Ovis aries: one gene and its partner. Each later gene encodes a partner of the first gene's protein in a complex. Links are inferred from orthologs where the notes say so. Each region holds a gene or a part of one and is shown on either strand. Other genes may lie near its edges.

Region 1 (8,403 bases):
TGGCCTCCTCACCCTTCCTGTAACACACTCCACCTGCTCCCACCCTAGGGCCCTGCCACTTGCCGCTCGGCCCTTTGGAACAACCATCCTCCACTGGACACCTACCTGGCTCACCCACTCACTTCCTTCAGATCTCTACTAATGAGCCCTTCCCCGATTCCCACCCCCTACCACAGTGCTCCCTGATGCCCTTTACCCTGTTCTGTTGCTGATACCCTTCCTTTTTATTGTGGTAAAATATACATGCATAACATAAAATTTACCATTTTAGCCATTTTTAACTGTATGATTCAGAGGCATTAAGTACAGTCAACTTTGTTCTGCAACCATCACCACAATCCATTTCCAGTACCTTTTCATCTTCCCCAAAAGGAAACTCTGTGCCCATTAAACTCCTCATTCCCCAGCACCCCCACCCAGGGCAGCCACTATTCTGCTTTCTGCCTCTGTGAATGTGATTGCTCTAGGGACCTCTTCAAAGTGGAACCATACACTATTTGCTATTTTGCATCTGGCTTCCCTGGTGGCTCAGACAGTAAAGAATGTGCCTGCAAAGTAGGAGAGTCGGGTTCGATCGCTGGGTTGGGAAGATCCCCTGGAGAAGCAAAGGACCACCTACTCCAGTATTCTTGCCTGGAGAATTCTACAGACAGGGGAGTCTCGTGGGCTACAGTCCATGGGGTCACAGAGAGTCGGACATGACTGAGTGATGACTAACACTTTTCACTTTCTATTTCACTTAACAGAATGTTTTCAAGGTTCATCCCTGTTGCAGCAGGTATCAGAATTTCATTTCTTTTTAAGGCCTAGTAATATTCCACTGTGCAGATATACTACATCTTATTTATCCACTCATCCTTCTGTGAACATTTGGGTTATTTCCATCTTTTGGCTATCATGAATAATGCTGCTGTGAACATGGCCGTACCAATACGTTTGAGTTCCTGCTTTCAATTCCTTGGGGTATATACTCAAAAGCGGAACTGCTGGATTATCTGGTAATTTCTATGCTTAATTTTTTGAGGGACAGCCACACTGTCTTCCACAGCAGCAGCAACATTGCACGTTCCCACCAACAGCACATAAGGGTCCCAACTTATCCACTTCTTCACCAACACTGTTGTTTTCTCTTAGTCCTTACTCCATTTTTCCTCAAATCATTTACTACCTGTCATACTATAATACTTGCTTTTTATATTGGCTGCCTCCCCTGAACTAGCACTTAAGACCTCTTAGGAATAGGGCGCTTGAGGACTTTCCTGGTGGTCCAGTGATTAAGAATTTGCCTCTCCTTCCAGAGGATATGAGGGTTCGATCCTTTGGCAGGGAACTAAGATTGCACTTACAACTTGGCCTACATGCTGCAACTAGAGAAAGTTCGTTTATCACAACAAGACCCAAAGCAGCCAAAATTTAAAAAATAAAAGGTATAGGACTTCTACTGCTGTAACCTCAGCATCTGGAACACACCCTGGCACATAGCAGGTACTCCAAAGATTTGAATGAAGGAATAAAATAGTTTAACCATAATTTTAGTCAGCATTAGAATTGCTAGGATAGATTTATCACACCAAGTGCCTTAAACTATGTCCAGTTTAGGGAAGAATCCAGACAAAGTTCATTACAAGGAATAGTTCAGTGGATGGTGGTTCCAACTCATCCTCATTAGCAATAGCCTCAGAACCACAAACACTATGACAACTGGTAGGAATCAAGGAAATTGTCATTCACGTCACTGACTTCAAGCCTTAGTTGATTTCATCAAAAGAGTCAGGAAAAAATTAAAACAGGCTAAGTGAACTAAAAAAAAAACTATGTATTAATACTTACAATTAATAAACAGCCTGTGAAAGCAATGTGTTTTATTTTAAAAGATCAAACCAACAGCAAAGAAAACCGACACTGGCCTTGGGCAGGCTTTTAATCAGATGTATGCAAGTACAGCTTGACCTGAAAACTTAACTACAGGCCTAATTTTAATATTTTGAGTTTTTTCTGTTGTTCAAATTTGGTGTCTGTTGTTTCACTTTGGTTTAAGAGTTGCTCATAAATAAATCAGATTTTCCATTCAATCATTACAAATGAACTAAAAAGCCATTTGATTTTTTTGCTGTGCAAGTCGGTTGGTTGCACACCATTGTATTAGAAGTTTCTTTCTCTCTTTAAGACCATGGTCTTCCTCAGTTGAAAATACTTTGATATATAAAGCAATGGATCTGATTTCAGTTCACCTATCTCTTCTCTAAGCAAAGTTTCCACGTCTTCTTCCTAAAGATGCTTATTCTCTCCAGAAGGCAACCACTTTGTTTAAATAGGTAACACCATTGTCAACCCCAAAGAACTTCCATGAGTCTCAAACGGGAGACCAGGAGCAATTCATTTCGAGCATGAAGAACTTTGCCTGCCTGATAAGAAGGAAATCTTGGTAGGATATTGTTTCAATTTGAATTATTCAAAAAGCAGATTATACTTTCAACACATACATACACGCAAGTGAAAGTAAGAAACGAAAAAGAAAAGTGATCTTGCACAGTTGGCCACAAAGCAAACTAAGAATATATGAAAAGACAGTCAACATTTCACAGTTCAGATTCACTGCAATTTAAACTTACAAATTATTCCAATAGAGCAACACCTGATTCTTGTAACCTACTCAGATGCCTTGATGTAGCTGATCAAGATGCATTTCAGGTGTGAAATAAACCCAGTGTTGAATCCAGACAGTGTTACTTGTAGTTTGGATTCTTTTACTCTCCTCATGTAGGCTTTCAGCAGACAGTTTTCTACAATGAACTCAGTACAATACCTAAGACCTCCTCAAAAACCAAGAGTCTTTCTACGGCTACATTGTTTTTTTCCTATATCAAGGTCACTTTGTTCCTTTATCATTGGTAGGACACAATGAAGAGTTATTTCTTCAACAGCAATACATGTACCATTTTTCCTAGTTACCCTCATATTCCCCCTCCACTGAGACGCATTTGTGGGAAATAGCAAAATCCCAAAGCCTGGGGTTACAGCTTGCATCCACTGGACAAGTGATCTCACTCTGCACCTCAGCTTCTTCGCCCGTACCTGACTCACAGGGTTCCTGTGATGTATAGCTATGGACCTGGCTTACAAGTACTTCATGTCTATTATTCTCATTTTTAGCAACCAGTCAGAGAAGATTTTGTGGACCACTTTCTCCTTGCCTGCAGCTTCCTCTGAAGAGGGGAACTGAACCCAATCCTTGGCCTTATGAATGCCCACGTAGCTATGGGAGTCAAGAGAACTCCAAAAAGGAAGTGGACCTCACACATCCAAATACTTCCCACTCCACCAGCACTCCGGAGGATCTTATCAACAGGAAACAAAAGCACAATACTACTATAATGAAGTGTCTGACTTCTTTTCTAATTAGAAAAGCCCAAAGATTGTAGCCCAGGGAACAGCTAAATATTTAGAATGTTAAATAAGTTATGAAGACCCAGGCCCCACCCACCTGTATTACCCTGTTGTTTATCCTATCCCTAACCATTTCAGAAGAAAAAGCTTGTGATGCTCAAATCTGCAGCAATGGGCATTTGTGCACCTGGTAAAACCTCCCTCTCTTGAAGTGCAGTCTGAACATTTGCAGGAGAAAACATAAGAGCTGCTTGCGTTTACAGATAAATGATGCTCTCAGCTCATATCCCATGACAGGCACCTAAACCAGAGGAATCCACCAGATTCCTTGATGCTCAGGTGGCATCAAGGATTGGATGTTACTTTCTTAAGCTTCAAGAACTTCCCTTTTTCAAGTTCAATTTGCCAGCAACCCACTTGAATCTCTTGCCACACAACCTACTCTGATTAAACACATATTCACAGTATAAGGGGGAAAAAAAAGGAAAGTGACTATTTTTGAAAGAGGGAAGCAGATAAATTTTGCTTATGTATCTTGGCAGATGAAATGCACTGCATCTTTCAAAATTTAAATCATCAGCACACCTCCTGGCAAGTTCAATTCTCAGATCACCAGTGGGCATCCCTTTTACTGCTCCATCTCTTTCTTTTTTCCCCCTGCTCCCGTAAACCTTCAGGCTGCTTCACTTCTGAGTCAGGGCCAAAAGTACTAGACAGGACTGCCCCCTGGATCTCATACATTCCCTAAAGCCCTTACCACAGGCAGTGACAAATTTCAGAGAATTTGCCATGGAGTTTCCTGTCTCTTCCTACTCCCCATCTCCATGACTCCTTAGCGAGAACTTAAAATAGGCTTAGGACCAAAACTCATTATTAACTACAGCTTTCAGGCTTCCGCACTCACCTGACCCAGGTCAGGCACTCTGTTGCCAAAACACGCCCAGCCAGGGGTGTGAGTTCTGCTCCCTGGTGGTCAGCTCCTAAGTAATTGAGAAAGAAAGAAAGCTGAATGCGAGATTGGACAGAAGTGGGTCCCTAATAGAAATTTTCAAATTCTACATTTCCACTTTCAGTTAACCTCCTTCCTGGAGAGACAACCCTCCTCCCTCCCCCAAAACACACACATACACACGCAGGACCGCCACCACCACCAGATTTGACAGGTAGGTTGGTGGGTTCACTTAGGTAAAGATTACTGGTCATTTCATCTGTTTCCAATATACAACTGACAAGTGAGACTAAGTACGCACAAACTTCGAACGCGCCGTGGGGCTGAAACTAAGAGAAGTGTTTGGCTGATCCCAAAGCACTTGTTTCCAGGAGCGGAGGCCAAGTATCCAAAGCCCGCATCCCCATCAGGCGTGAGCTCCGTCCACACTTCATCCGTCACCGCTCCCCGGGTTCTCTTCCGTTTTTCTAAAACCTCCCCACTGGGGCCCCCACATATGCATTCCTCTCCCTTGCAGCACAACGGAAGGCTGCATTTTAAGAAAGATTGTTTCCTTTAGCCTACTCACATAGGACATCTCCACGACCTCCCTCCCTGCCCCCTCGCCACCAAAACCCACTATTTTCTGCAGCTGCTGCTAGTTTCCAACTTGGGGGAATGCCTTTACAACCCAGAATGAGTAGCCTCAAAGCCAGTCGATGGAATCGAGAATTTTTTTTAACCTTAAATGAACACCCCCAAAATGCCCTCAGGAAAAGAACCCCCAGAATGCATGCAAGTGCATGAAAATCCACCAAGAACGAGAAGAGAGCGAGGCAAAAACTTCTGCTCCTGGGGACAGTACCAACTCCCCGCGCCCTCTACCCGGCCCCCAGCCGCTACCTTAGTGCCCGGGGAGCCACGCCACTTTGGCGGAGCAGGGCGAGGAGAGGGGGTTAGCAGCCGCTGGGTAATCCCATGTCCGCGAAGAGGGAGCTCGTTCCGTTAGGATGGAAGCGGAACACCCACACCTCCTCTCGGCGTGCGATTTCTCTCTCTCCACCCTCTGCCTCCTCCTCCACCACCACCACCTCCTCCTTCTCTCCTCCCACCCCAGCGAGCTAGAGGAAACGCTTCAGCAGCACATCCACATGGTTACTGCACTTCGAAGCAGCTCCTGGCAGCTTATATAGGCCGGGACGCTCCCTGGGCAATGTAGTCCGAGTCCGGGGTCGTGGCAGCGCCTGGGGCTGCGAGGGTGAACTACAAGTCCCAGAATCCCATGGGTTCCCAGGCTGGGCTCTAAATAGACGCGCACGGGGACAGGGAGGGGCGTCCTGCGGGGAGTCCGGGCTTCAAACCCGGCTCTGCGCCGAGAACCCGTTGGCTTAGGAACCCGCGACTCAAAACCACCCGTGGGGGGCGCCCCCAGCCCTTGGGGACGCTCCTCCGTCGGCTGCCCCATTTCTCTAGAATCCAGGTGTCATTGGGAGCAGGGGGCGGGGAAGAGCTCGGATTTCTGCTTTGGGAAGTTTTTACAAGCTGTTACCCACCCTTCCCCCGCTTTGAGTACCCAGCCAAGAATTTCAGAAATCCAGGGCACAAAAACTCCAGTGTTTGCGGTCAAGGATTAAAGGCGTGAGGTTGTCTTTATTTAAGCTGTTCCGCTTTCTTCGGGTTTGCACAGAAATCTAAGTCTGGGAGCAACGCAAGTGGGAACACAGGCAAGAGGCTTGAGAGCACTTTCCTGAACCCGAACTGCGCTTGTCTTTCCTTGCCCCTCAGGAGGTAAAGAAACGCAAGCGTCTCCGTGCACATGTAAAGGAGCCTGGTTGTGACTTGCCGGTGCTGAGATTGAGAGGCAGAAAATAAATACGAATCACGACCTCGGTGCTGACCCTGCTACAAGCAGCCCCTCTCCTCCCGGGAGTTGCAAATGCTTAAGTAAATAAACCGCAAACCAGAAAAATAAGGGCTTTGGAGCGAGCCGCTCACAAGAAGATGCGCGTCCAGGCGGGGCGCCCTCCAGCAGGTCCTACAGGGGCTTCCGGGACATAAAGTGGATTCAGCTCACTGCTAAGTGATACCTGGACATCCCGGGCTATCTGCTCAGGCTCCCGCTTTGGGAAGGTGGGCAAGTCGAGCCTCAGATGTGCGTTCATTCTCCCGACGTTTCCTGAGAGTGTACTGGGTGCCAGGCACTGGGGCATGGTGTTGAGTGTTCCACTGTGTTCCGGATAGGCACTGCCTACCGCCGCAAAAGATCTGCTACAACAGCAACAGCAATAATAATAATTGAGGAGTTTGACTCTTTTGAGCCCAGCCCACATGCGCTTTTCATGAGTTTTAACAACCCTTGACTTATTTATTGTCCCTATTTGACAGAGGCACAACTGAGAGCTCAAAGAAATCAGATGAATTCTCAAGATGACACCATCAGTTAAGTAGTGCAGCCCGGATTCCAATTCCAGCCTATAAGTATACTAAGTCCTTGTCTCCGGGGAAATCCGTCAGCACTACTTTAAATGGCCTCCCTCCCCATTTTGGGAGCAGCCTCTGAGCCCTTGGGCAAGTCATTTTTTATCTCTTTGCCCTAGTTTTGCCATCGGAGAGGGAGAAAAATCATTAGAATTTGCCAATCTTTTGTCAGGATTGCTTGATACAGAGTCCACAGTCTTGCGGACTTCAGCAACAAATTAGGGAAGCACCATAGCTAATAATTATTACTGACATAATAATGCCCAAAGTAATAATAATTATTGGCTAATAATAATTTAGATAATAATTATTGGATTCATGCCATGTGCCAGGCATTATTCTAAACTCTTCATGTACATTCTCTCATCAAGTCCTATTAATGAACTTTTTTTTTTAACTTATGAGAAAGTTGAGGCATAGAGAAGTTAAATAACTCCCAAAGTCACACAGCGGGGTAGGCTGTCTTGACTCCCAAACCTTGGTTCTTCTTTTTTTTTTTTTTCTTGGCTGCCTTAGGTTTTAGTTGCAGCATGTGGGATCTTAGTTTCCCAACCAGGGGTCGAACCTATGTCCCTTGGGATTCTTAACCACTGGACCACCAGGGAAGTCTCCCAATCCTTAGTTCTTAACCACTGCCATCCACAGCTTCCCCAATGTAAACATATACATTGTATTTGTCTGCTCATATAAGCATTTAATCAGCAAGAATGGTTATCACTTTCACTCTTGTCTCCTCTTTTTCAACATCATCCTCTGGTTGTTGGACACCACAGCCTTGTGCCTAAAGCCTCAAGCTACCAGTCCCATCAGCAAGATGCTCCCCTGACCTGTCACAAAAAATGAATCCACACCTTACATATCTGTCCCCTTTCTTCTTTTCCTTCATGAAAACAATCTGTTCCATTTCTAAATGGTTTGTGGCTCTATGTTTTAAATTCAACAAATCATTCTATGCTAACATAACTGGTAAACATTAAAGGTGATTATTTCCTGTGCTTCTAACTCAGAGAAACAGTGGGATTTTAAAGTGGGTTTTCTTAAGAAAACTTGGTCATGTCTGAGGGCTGGAGTTGGGTAATATTCATCCTCACCATACTGTGGACGCCTGACCTTTAACTGTTATCTCCACTGTCTTCTCATCGAGAAGACAAGTTTCATTAAAGGCAGGGGCCATCTTTTATTCATGGTTGTATTCCCTACCATTCCTAACTCAGAAAGCCTTAGTCCTTTGTCTGTGTATTTTTTTACATATGCCAAAAAAAAAAAAAAAGTTCATTCTAAAAAGGTGTTTTGACAGGAGGTGTGGCAGGCATGTGGCAAGCTAGATGAACGTATTTTCTGGGCACACACCTTGTAGCCCATTTGCGTCACAGACTGTTTCCTCTACCTGTATGTATGAATAGTCCTTTTCAACATTATGCAACTAACCTCAAGTTCTGGAAGCTACTGGGTCACCAGAAGGTAGTTGTAATAAATTTGCAATGATGCTCAGAAGTTCTCTGCGATGGTGTATGACTGGTGATTGATATCACAATAAAAGGGCCACTGCCCAACTCACCCTCCATTATCTATAGAGGTAAGGGGGCTTATTTGTCTTAGTTGTATTTTTC
Region 2 (7,712 bases), on another chromosome or scaffold:
TGAAATGATTTGTGAATTGCTTTTTTTCCCCCACTCTGTCATGCCAATTTATCAAAAAGAAATGAGCAGATATATCATGCATGTTGATTTTTCTTCAGTCCTCTGTGAAAACACGTATATACCTGCTATGAAATTTCTCAGCAGAATCCATAGCAGTTGTGCTTTTATCATACCAGTTTCTAAAATCTGTCAGAAAGGAAAGGGAACATTCAGTCTCGTCATCAGCACTGCTGGGAAATAAAATCATGAAACTTCTAGCACTGGTTTGACATGACCTCTGTGACCAGCAGATGTGTGGTCCTCTTGTGTACGGTATATACACCGGCTTGCAGTAACAGAACCGACAACCCTCCCTTAAAGAAAGGGAAGAGTCCAGTTTTTGTACCATAATAATCTATAGTACCCAATATATTATTTTTCGATCTTCTTGATAATTCTAGCAAGGTACTGACTCTTTTACTAGATTGAAGTGTTTCTTACAGTCTTTCGAATTATAATCAGAGCAAAGCAAGATCATTGCAACAATGAAGAACATCTCTTTACTGGTGAAAGGCTTGCCTTCAGGACCACCATGTCAACTGCTATATTTAGGTTCAAACAGAAAACATGTAAAGAGCACTATTGTCATCTAAGCAATAAGTCCTAATGCCACTGTAGTTACTGGAGCAGCATCGATCAAAGGCATCATGGTGACCCCGAGCACTCATCTTCTCTCTTTCCTTCAGGTTTGCTGGCAGCTGTGTCTTAGAAAAAGCTGTCTCCAGCAAGGCAGAAGCAGGTAAGAGAAATGCATTAGAAGTCTATGTCCCATCCCGAGTTGTCGTCAGGTGGTGGTTCGTCATTGTCCTCAGGGAAACTGTCAAAATTGCTTGTGTCTGTGGGTGATGCCACCTGTAAACAAGAGTATTAGTGGAATTCCAAGCTAGATTTTTAAAAGCAATCTTTATTCATTCCTTATTCAGTGGCTATTTTGGGCATGTCTACCATGAGCAGGAGTTGTCCTTTGTATTGAGGATTACAGTGGTGAATAAAAATAGGCATAGCTTTGCCCTTCTAGAGTTTACACTCTAGGGAAGAATAAGTTGTGTGATTAAAAGAAATAATTAGAAAACATCTCTGTAAACTCTTACAAGTTGACTGGCAGTTCAATATGCAGAGCATAAATAAAGGTGCTGAAGAAGCAGACTTTAGTTTCTCTCATATTCTATAATATTTAGGACTTCATATTCTATTCTATATATTTACATACATTATATATATATATATATATATATATATATATATTCTTCCATTTAATTTAATACTACTGTCGCATAAAAGGAGACCCCTGGTGAGTATAAGTTAGGATATTTTAGGCTTTTATTTTCCTCTTAAAGTTTCTTATTCTGCCTTTGTTCTAAAAAGAAAACTTCATGAATGCAGTTAACATCTGTACTTTACTTTGTTTGTGAATAAACATAAATATAAGCATACAAATTAAAATAATAAGTACAGCAATTGTTTCTGTATAAGGAGTGATCTTAAATTAGTCCCAGAAGAAAGGATGTATATAAATGAAGAGCTCAGGAGTGCAAAACAGCCCTCTCCTCATTAGTTAAGACCGAACAGATTTTATTAGATAGATGCTGTATTGAATAAAAATATAAATGCAGTCAATTGAAATCTATTTCGGGTTAACACAGTGTAAACACTTGGTTCACTTTGTGGACTAGTAGTTTAACAAAACACCTGCTATATTAGAAGGGAATGTCTTTCTTTTAGAGCCTGATCAAACAATAAAAGAAAAGAACTGTGCTTAGGAACACTTTAAAGAACTATGGGGGCAGAGGAGGAGGAAGTATGTGGAGCATAAATGAAACGATATTGGCCAGGAATTGAAAACGGTTGAAACTGGTAGCTGAACTGTTGTCTAAACTCAACAAAAAACCACAGGGCAGGGAATGTTGTGATGTGGCCCATTTGGATTGGACTCTTGGAGACAGAGCATGGTGGAGTCATAACCAGAAGGTAAGAATAACAGATTCCTAACTCATCTAAGTATACTCAAGTACACACTACAGAGCTTTTGCATCTTATATAGACAATTACATGAATGTGCAGAAATTTAAAATAATTTATGAATATGACTAACTAAGGTTGTAAATATATTCTTGGGCAAAGATGTATAAAGTTCTTATAGTATGTGGAAAAAGAGATTCATTATACTCTTCTGTCAACACTTGTATATTTAACACATTATAAGTTTGAATTTTAGAAGGTGTCATTTTGTTAATCTGCTATTTCTCCTATGTTTTAAGCTGATCATAGGATAAAAAGTTTGAAATAGCAGATGTGTATCACACAATTACAAGCTGGAAAGTTTACTTACACTTGGTATTATAGGAGGTGTCAAGGTGCCTTTTCTTAAGCCTTCCCAGTTAAAGCCCTCAAACCATCTAAAAGAGGAAAAAATAGATAGTTAAAGGCATTTTACCTCAGTTAAAGCCTTCTCAAAACAACTTATATGATGTCCATGACTGATGGAAAACAGGTAAGCAAACATTTTCATTATAAGAATAATGTTTTCTATTTAATTGCAGATTTTAAATGTTAGCTTCTTAAGTGGAATGCATTTTTTAAAAAAAATCTAATTGTCAAAATTTTAAAGACCAATAGCAATTGCTTTTTATTCTAGTTATTTCAGTCATGACCTTGTTCCAAAATGATCATTATAACTTAATAAATGCCATAATATGCTTGGCCCTGTACCCTACAGGTTGTTATTTTAAGGAGGCAGAATCAGGGAATGAAATGTCAGGAGGGAAAATTATCCTTCCATCTTTGTTACTGGGCAGCCTCAGTTAATTAACCTTTTCACATCACTGTCTTGGTCTCTATGTATCTGTATCTCATTTTCTTTCTTTCTTTTTTTGGTTCAATGAAGGTACTTTGAGTATGGCTTTTTGTGAAAATGGGGACCAAATATCACAAAGGTCTTTGTTGTTGTTGTTGTCTTTGAAAGATTTCATCATTAGCAAATAATTACATGAAATTCCCGCAGGCTTTTTAGACATTCATAGGTATTGTGGGAAACACATTCCTTTGGTAAGGATATGAATTTCCTCTGCATGTTACAGAAACCAATAGGGAAAGACCAATATGATCTTGGTTTAGCTTTAGAACATTCAATCAACATGGGTAAGGTTTACTGTTTAAGATGCTACATTGTTTTAAAAAATGACTGTACTCTGTACTTTTTTTCCTACTGTCAGAGCATCCAATTAGGAAATGGTTGAAAACATATGTTTTAGTTAAGGAAATGAGGCATGATATATGGTGGCATACTTTTGTTTTTAATATTCTGGTAGAGAATAGAATTTCAGAATTAAAAATATGTATTTCTTCTTCATGCTGGAGAGGAAAAGTCCTAATTAGTAGGAGCTGGGAAAAACTAAATTCAGTGATTCTGTTGTTCAGAAGGTCACAGGATCAGATGCGTCTAAATAAAGTCCTTGAGACAAAACTAGAAAGATCTTAAATAACAAGGCTAACTAGTTTGCCTGTCTCATCGGATGCTCCTATGGACTAGTTGCATCAGTTATATAACCACTAACTTAAAATCATCAGCCTTGGGAAATATTCTCTGAACGCTTAAACCATAAGTTATAAGAACACTTACTTGTGCTTTTGAATGTCTTTCACTCCGTTTTTCAAATTCCCTAATCTTTCTGATGGATTATCCCTGAAAATAAAATAATAATTGTTAAAAAATCTATTTTTTTAAAGGATCATAATGGGAAAAACAATGCGGTCGAAATGCTCACCTGCACAGTTTTTTAATTAAATTAGCAGCATTTTTGGCAATCTTCTTTGGAAATTCTATCATGTCAATCCCCCTCAATATGATGTTATAGGTTTTCATAGGATCTGGGCCTGAGAAAGGTGGGCTGCAAGAATGACAGATATGAAGAGAGAGATAGTATTTAGTTTTCTAAACAAGAAAAGTTACAGTGTTATAACAACAACTCCACAAATGACATCAGTTCTTATTTGGAGACATATAGTAACAGGGGTAGTGGAACGAAACTTGATTCATAGCAAAACGGTGTAGAAACCTTGCTGAGCAAATCATTTAGCAAAACCCTTAAATGGGTCGGGTTTGTCCACTGTTCCCCTCATTTCTGTTTTAGTGCTGGTGACTAACCCCGCTTGCTGTTCTTAGTCATTCAGAAAGCCTCTTCTACTTTTTGGCCCTTTCTCACATTTGCAAGCTCACTGACTACACTTGAAGTCCAACATCATTAGAATGGGCGACAGGAGCATCACTGATATGACCCCATCTTATGCCAGCTCTACCCTCACTCACTGGGATCCAGGCGTACCAGTCTTCTCTCTGCTCCTCTGAAGGACCAAATATTCTCCCACCTCAGGGCACTGTTCATTTTGCCTGGAAGTTTCTTCCCAGGCCTCCTGGTTAATGCCTCACTTATGAAGTCTTAGCTTAAGTGTTATGTTGCTTACTCAGAAAGGCCTACTGTGATCAACCTAATACAGCCAATCACAGAACCATTATCAACTAACATAATGTAATGGTCTAATACCAGAACTTAAAGTTAGATTCACCTATCATACTCTCTTATAGAACTCTTTTTTTGCCACTTATTGTGCTTTGTAACTACTTCATTTTGTATTTGTTTTATACCCATCTTCTCTTCCAGTTCCACGCTGGTATTCCCAGAGTCTGGGGGAATGCATAGCACAGAGTAAGTTGTCAGTAAATATTTGTTGAACTAATGCTCCTACAGAATAGTGCTCCTCCTATGCTTTTCTCCTTCTTTATCAGCCTTCAGAGATAACCTAACCTAAGACCTCCTCTTTGTTAGAAAGGATGTAGTGGCCAATCCCTCGTAACCAAATCTTTGGGTTTATTTACCTAGCCATCCTGGGCCTGTGGCTTTGTGCCTGGCTCAGGGAATACAGAAGTGACTAAAGTCAACTCCTTCCACCACATTCCCCAAGTTCAGAAATAATGATGATGTGACTTGATAGCTGATTTCCTTGGAAATTACTCTAATACAGTGTTTATTCATATTTTTTGGGGGAAGACATTTTATGGATTATTTTCTGTCTGTCATATTTATTAACAGCAGTTCAAATTATTTCCTTCTACTGAGAAAGCTGAAAACAATGAATTACTTAAAAAGGGTTGGATAGTATCTGCCTTAAGTTTTGTGTCCCTATTTTCTGTAGCAAGTACTTTAAAAAAATATTTTATATTGGAGTTCTTTGGAAGGAATGATGCTAAAGCTGAAACTCCAGTACTTTGGCCACCTGATGCGAAGAGTTGACTCATTGGAAAAGACTCTGATGCTGGGAGGGATTGGGGGCAGGAGGAGAAGGGGATGACAGAGGATGAGATGGCTGGATGGCATCACCGACTCGACGGACATGACTTTGAGTGAACTCCGGGAGTTGGTGATGGACAGGGAGGCCTGGCGTGCTGTGGTTCGTGGGGTCGCAGAGTCAGACATGACTGAGCAACTGAACGGAACTGAACTGATAGCAGACTGACAAGACTGTGACAGTTGCAGGTGGACAGCATTGGGGTTCAGCCACATGTATCCATTCTCCCCCCAAATCCCCTCCCATCCAGACTGCCACATAACATTGAGCAGAATTCCCTGTGCTATACAGTAGGACCTTGTTGGTTAACCATTTTAAATGTAGTAGTGTGCACATATTAGTTGAAAACTGCCTAATCATCGCTTTCCCCCAGGCCTTTCCCCTGGCAACCATAAGTTTGTTCAGTAAATCTGTGAGTCTGTTTTTGTTTTGTAAATAAGTTCATTTGTATATTTTCTTTCTTTATTCCACACACATGGGATGTCATGAGATTTCTCCTTCTCTGACTTCACTCAGTATGAAAGTCTCTAAGTCCATCCATGTGCCATTACTTCATTCTTTTTATGGCTGAGTAATATTCCATTGCATATATTCACCGCAGCCGCTGCTTTATCCACTCATCTGCTGATGGCCATTTAGGTTGCTTCCATGTCCTGGCTATTGTAAGCAGTGCTGCAATGAACACGGGGGTGCATGTATCCTTTCTCACCATGGTTTTATCCGGATATAGGTCCAGGAATGAGACTGCAGGGTCACAAGGTAGCTCTATTTTTAGTTTTTTAAGAAACATCCATACTGTTTTTCATAGCAACTGTGCCAATTTAATTCCTACCAGTAGTGTAGGAGAATTCCTTTCCTTCTACATCCTCTCCAGCATTTACTTGTGGATTTTTTGATGATATCCATTTTGACTGGCGTGCGGTGATACTCATTGTAGTTTGGATTTGGATTTCTCTAATAGTGATATTAGAAAATTAGAGATACCAAGGGAACATTTCATGCAAAGATGGGCATGATAAAAGACAGAAATGGTATGGACCTAACAGAAGCAAAAGATACTAAGAAGAGGTGGCAAGAATACACAGAACTGTACAAAAAAGATCTTCACGACCAAGATAATCATGATGGTGTGATCACTCACCTAGGGCCAGACATCCTGGAATGTGAAGTCAAGTGGGCCTTAGAAAGCATCACTACAAACGAAGCTAGTGGAGGTGATGGAATTCCAGTGGAGCTATTTCAAATCCTGAAAGATGATGCTGTGAAAGTGCTGCACTCAATATGCCAGCACATTTGGAAAATTCAGCAGTGGCCACAGGACTGGAAAAGGTCAGTTTTCATTCCAATTCCAAAGAAAGGCAATGCCAAAGAATGCTCAAACTACTGCACAATTGCACTCATCTCACATGCTAGTAAAGTAATGGTCAAAATTCTCCAAGCCAGGCTTCAGCAATACGTGAACCGTGAACTTCCTGATGTTCAAGCTGGTTTTAGAAAAGGCAGAGAAACCGGAGATCCAATTGCCAGCATCTGCTGGATCATGGAAAAACAAGAGAGTTCCAGAAAAACATCTATTTCTGCTTTATTGACTATGCCAAAGCCTTTGACTGTGTAGATCATAATACACTGTGGCAAATTCTGAAGGAGATGGGAATACTAGACCACCTGACCTGCCTCTTGAGAAACCTATATAAAGGTCAGGAAACAACAGAACTGGACGTGGAACAGACTGGTTCCAAATAGGAAAAGGAGTATGTCAAGGCTGTATATTGTCACCCTGCTTATTTAACTTATATGCAGAGTACATCAGGAGAAACGCTGGGCTGGAAGAAGCACAAGCTGGAATCAAGACTGCCGGGAGAAATGTCAGTAACCTCAGATATGCAGATGACACCACCCTTATGGCAGAAAGCGAAGAGGAACTGAAAAGCCTCTTGATGAAAGTGAAAGAGGAGTGAAAAAGTTGGCTTAAAGCTCAACATTCAGAAAACTAAGATCATGACATGGCAAATAGATGGGGAAACAGTGTTAGACTTTATTTTTTTGGGGCTCCAAAATCACTGCAGATGGTGACTGCAGCCATGAAATTAAAAGACGCTTACTCCTTGGAAGAAAAGTTATGACCAACCTAGATAGCATATTCAAAAGCAGAGACATTACTTTGCCAACAAAGGTCTGTGTAGTCAAGGCTATGGTTTTTCCAGTGGTCATGTATGGATGTGAGAGTTGGACTATGAAGAAAGCTGAGCGCCGAAGAATTGATGCTTCTTAACTGTGGTGTTGGAGAAGACTCTTGAGAGTCCTTTGGACTGCAAGGAGGTCCAACCAGT

The links.
Region 2: ITPR1 (region 1) and PRKG1 share a complex: the UniProt entries of both Homo sapiens proteins name them as parts of the cGMP kinase signaling complex. The link is inferred for Ovis aries from reciprocal best matches to the Homo sapiens genes ITPR1 and PRKG1.

The regions. Positions count from the first base shown.
Region 1 is NC_056072.1:21,854,458-21,862,860, forward strand, and holds the start of ITPR1 (inositol 1,4,5-trisphosphate receptor type 1), read right to left. Parts: upstream 5,481-8,403; 5' UTR 5,219-5,480; intron 4,368-5,218; 5' UTR 4,292-4,367; intron 1-4,291. UniProt on the Homo sapiens protein: Inositol 1,4,5-trisphosphate-gated calcium channel that, upon inositol 1,4,5-trisphosphate binding, mediates calcium release from the endoplasmic reticulum (ER).
Region 2 is NC_056075.1:6,691,476-6,699,187, forward strand, and holds part of PRKG1 (cGMP-dependent protein kinase 1), read right to left. Parts: intron 3,927-7,712; coding exon 3,804-3,926; intron 3,722-3,803; coding exon 3,659-3,721; intron 2,436-3,658; coding exon 2,369-2,435; intron 892-2,368; coding exon 793-891; 3' UTR 1-792. UniProt on the Homo sapiens protein: Serine/threonine protein kinase that acts as a key mediator of the nitric oxide (NO)/cGMP signaling pathway. GMP binding activates PRKG1, which phosphorylates serines and threonines on many cellular proteins.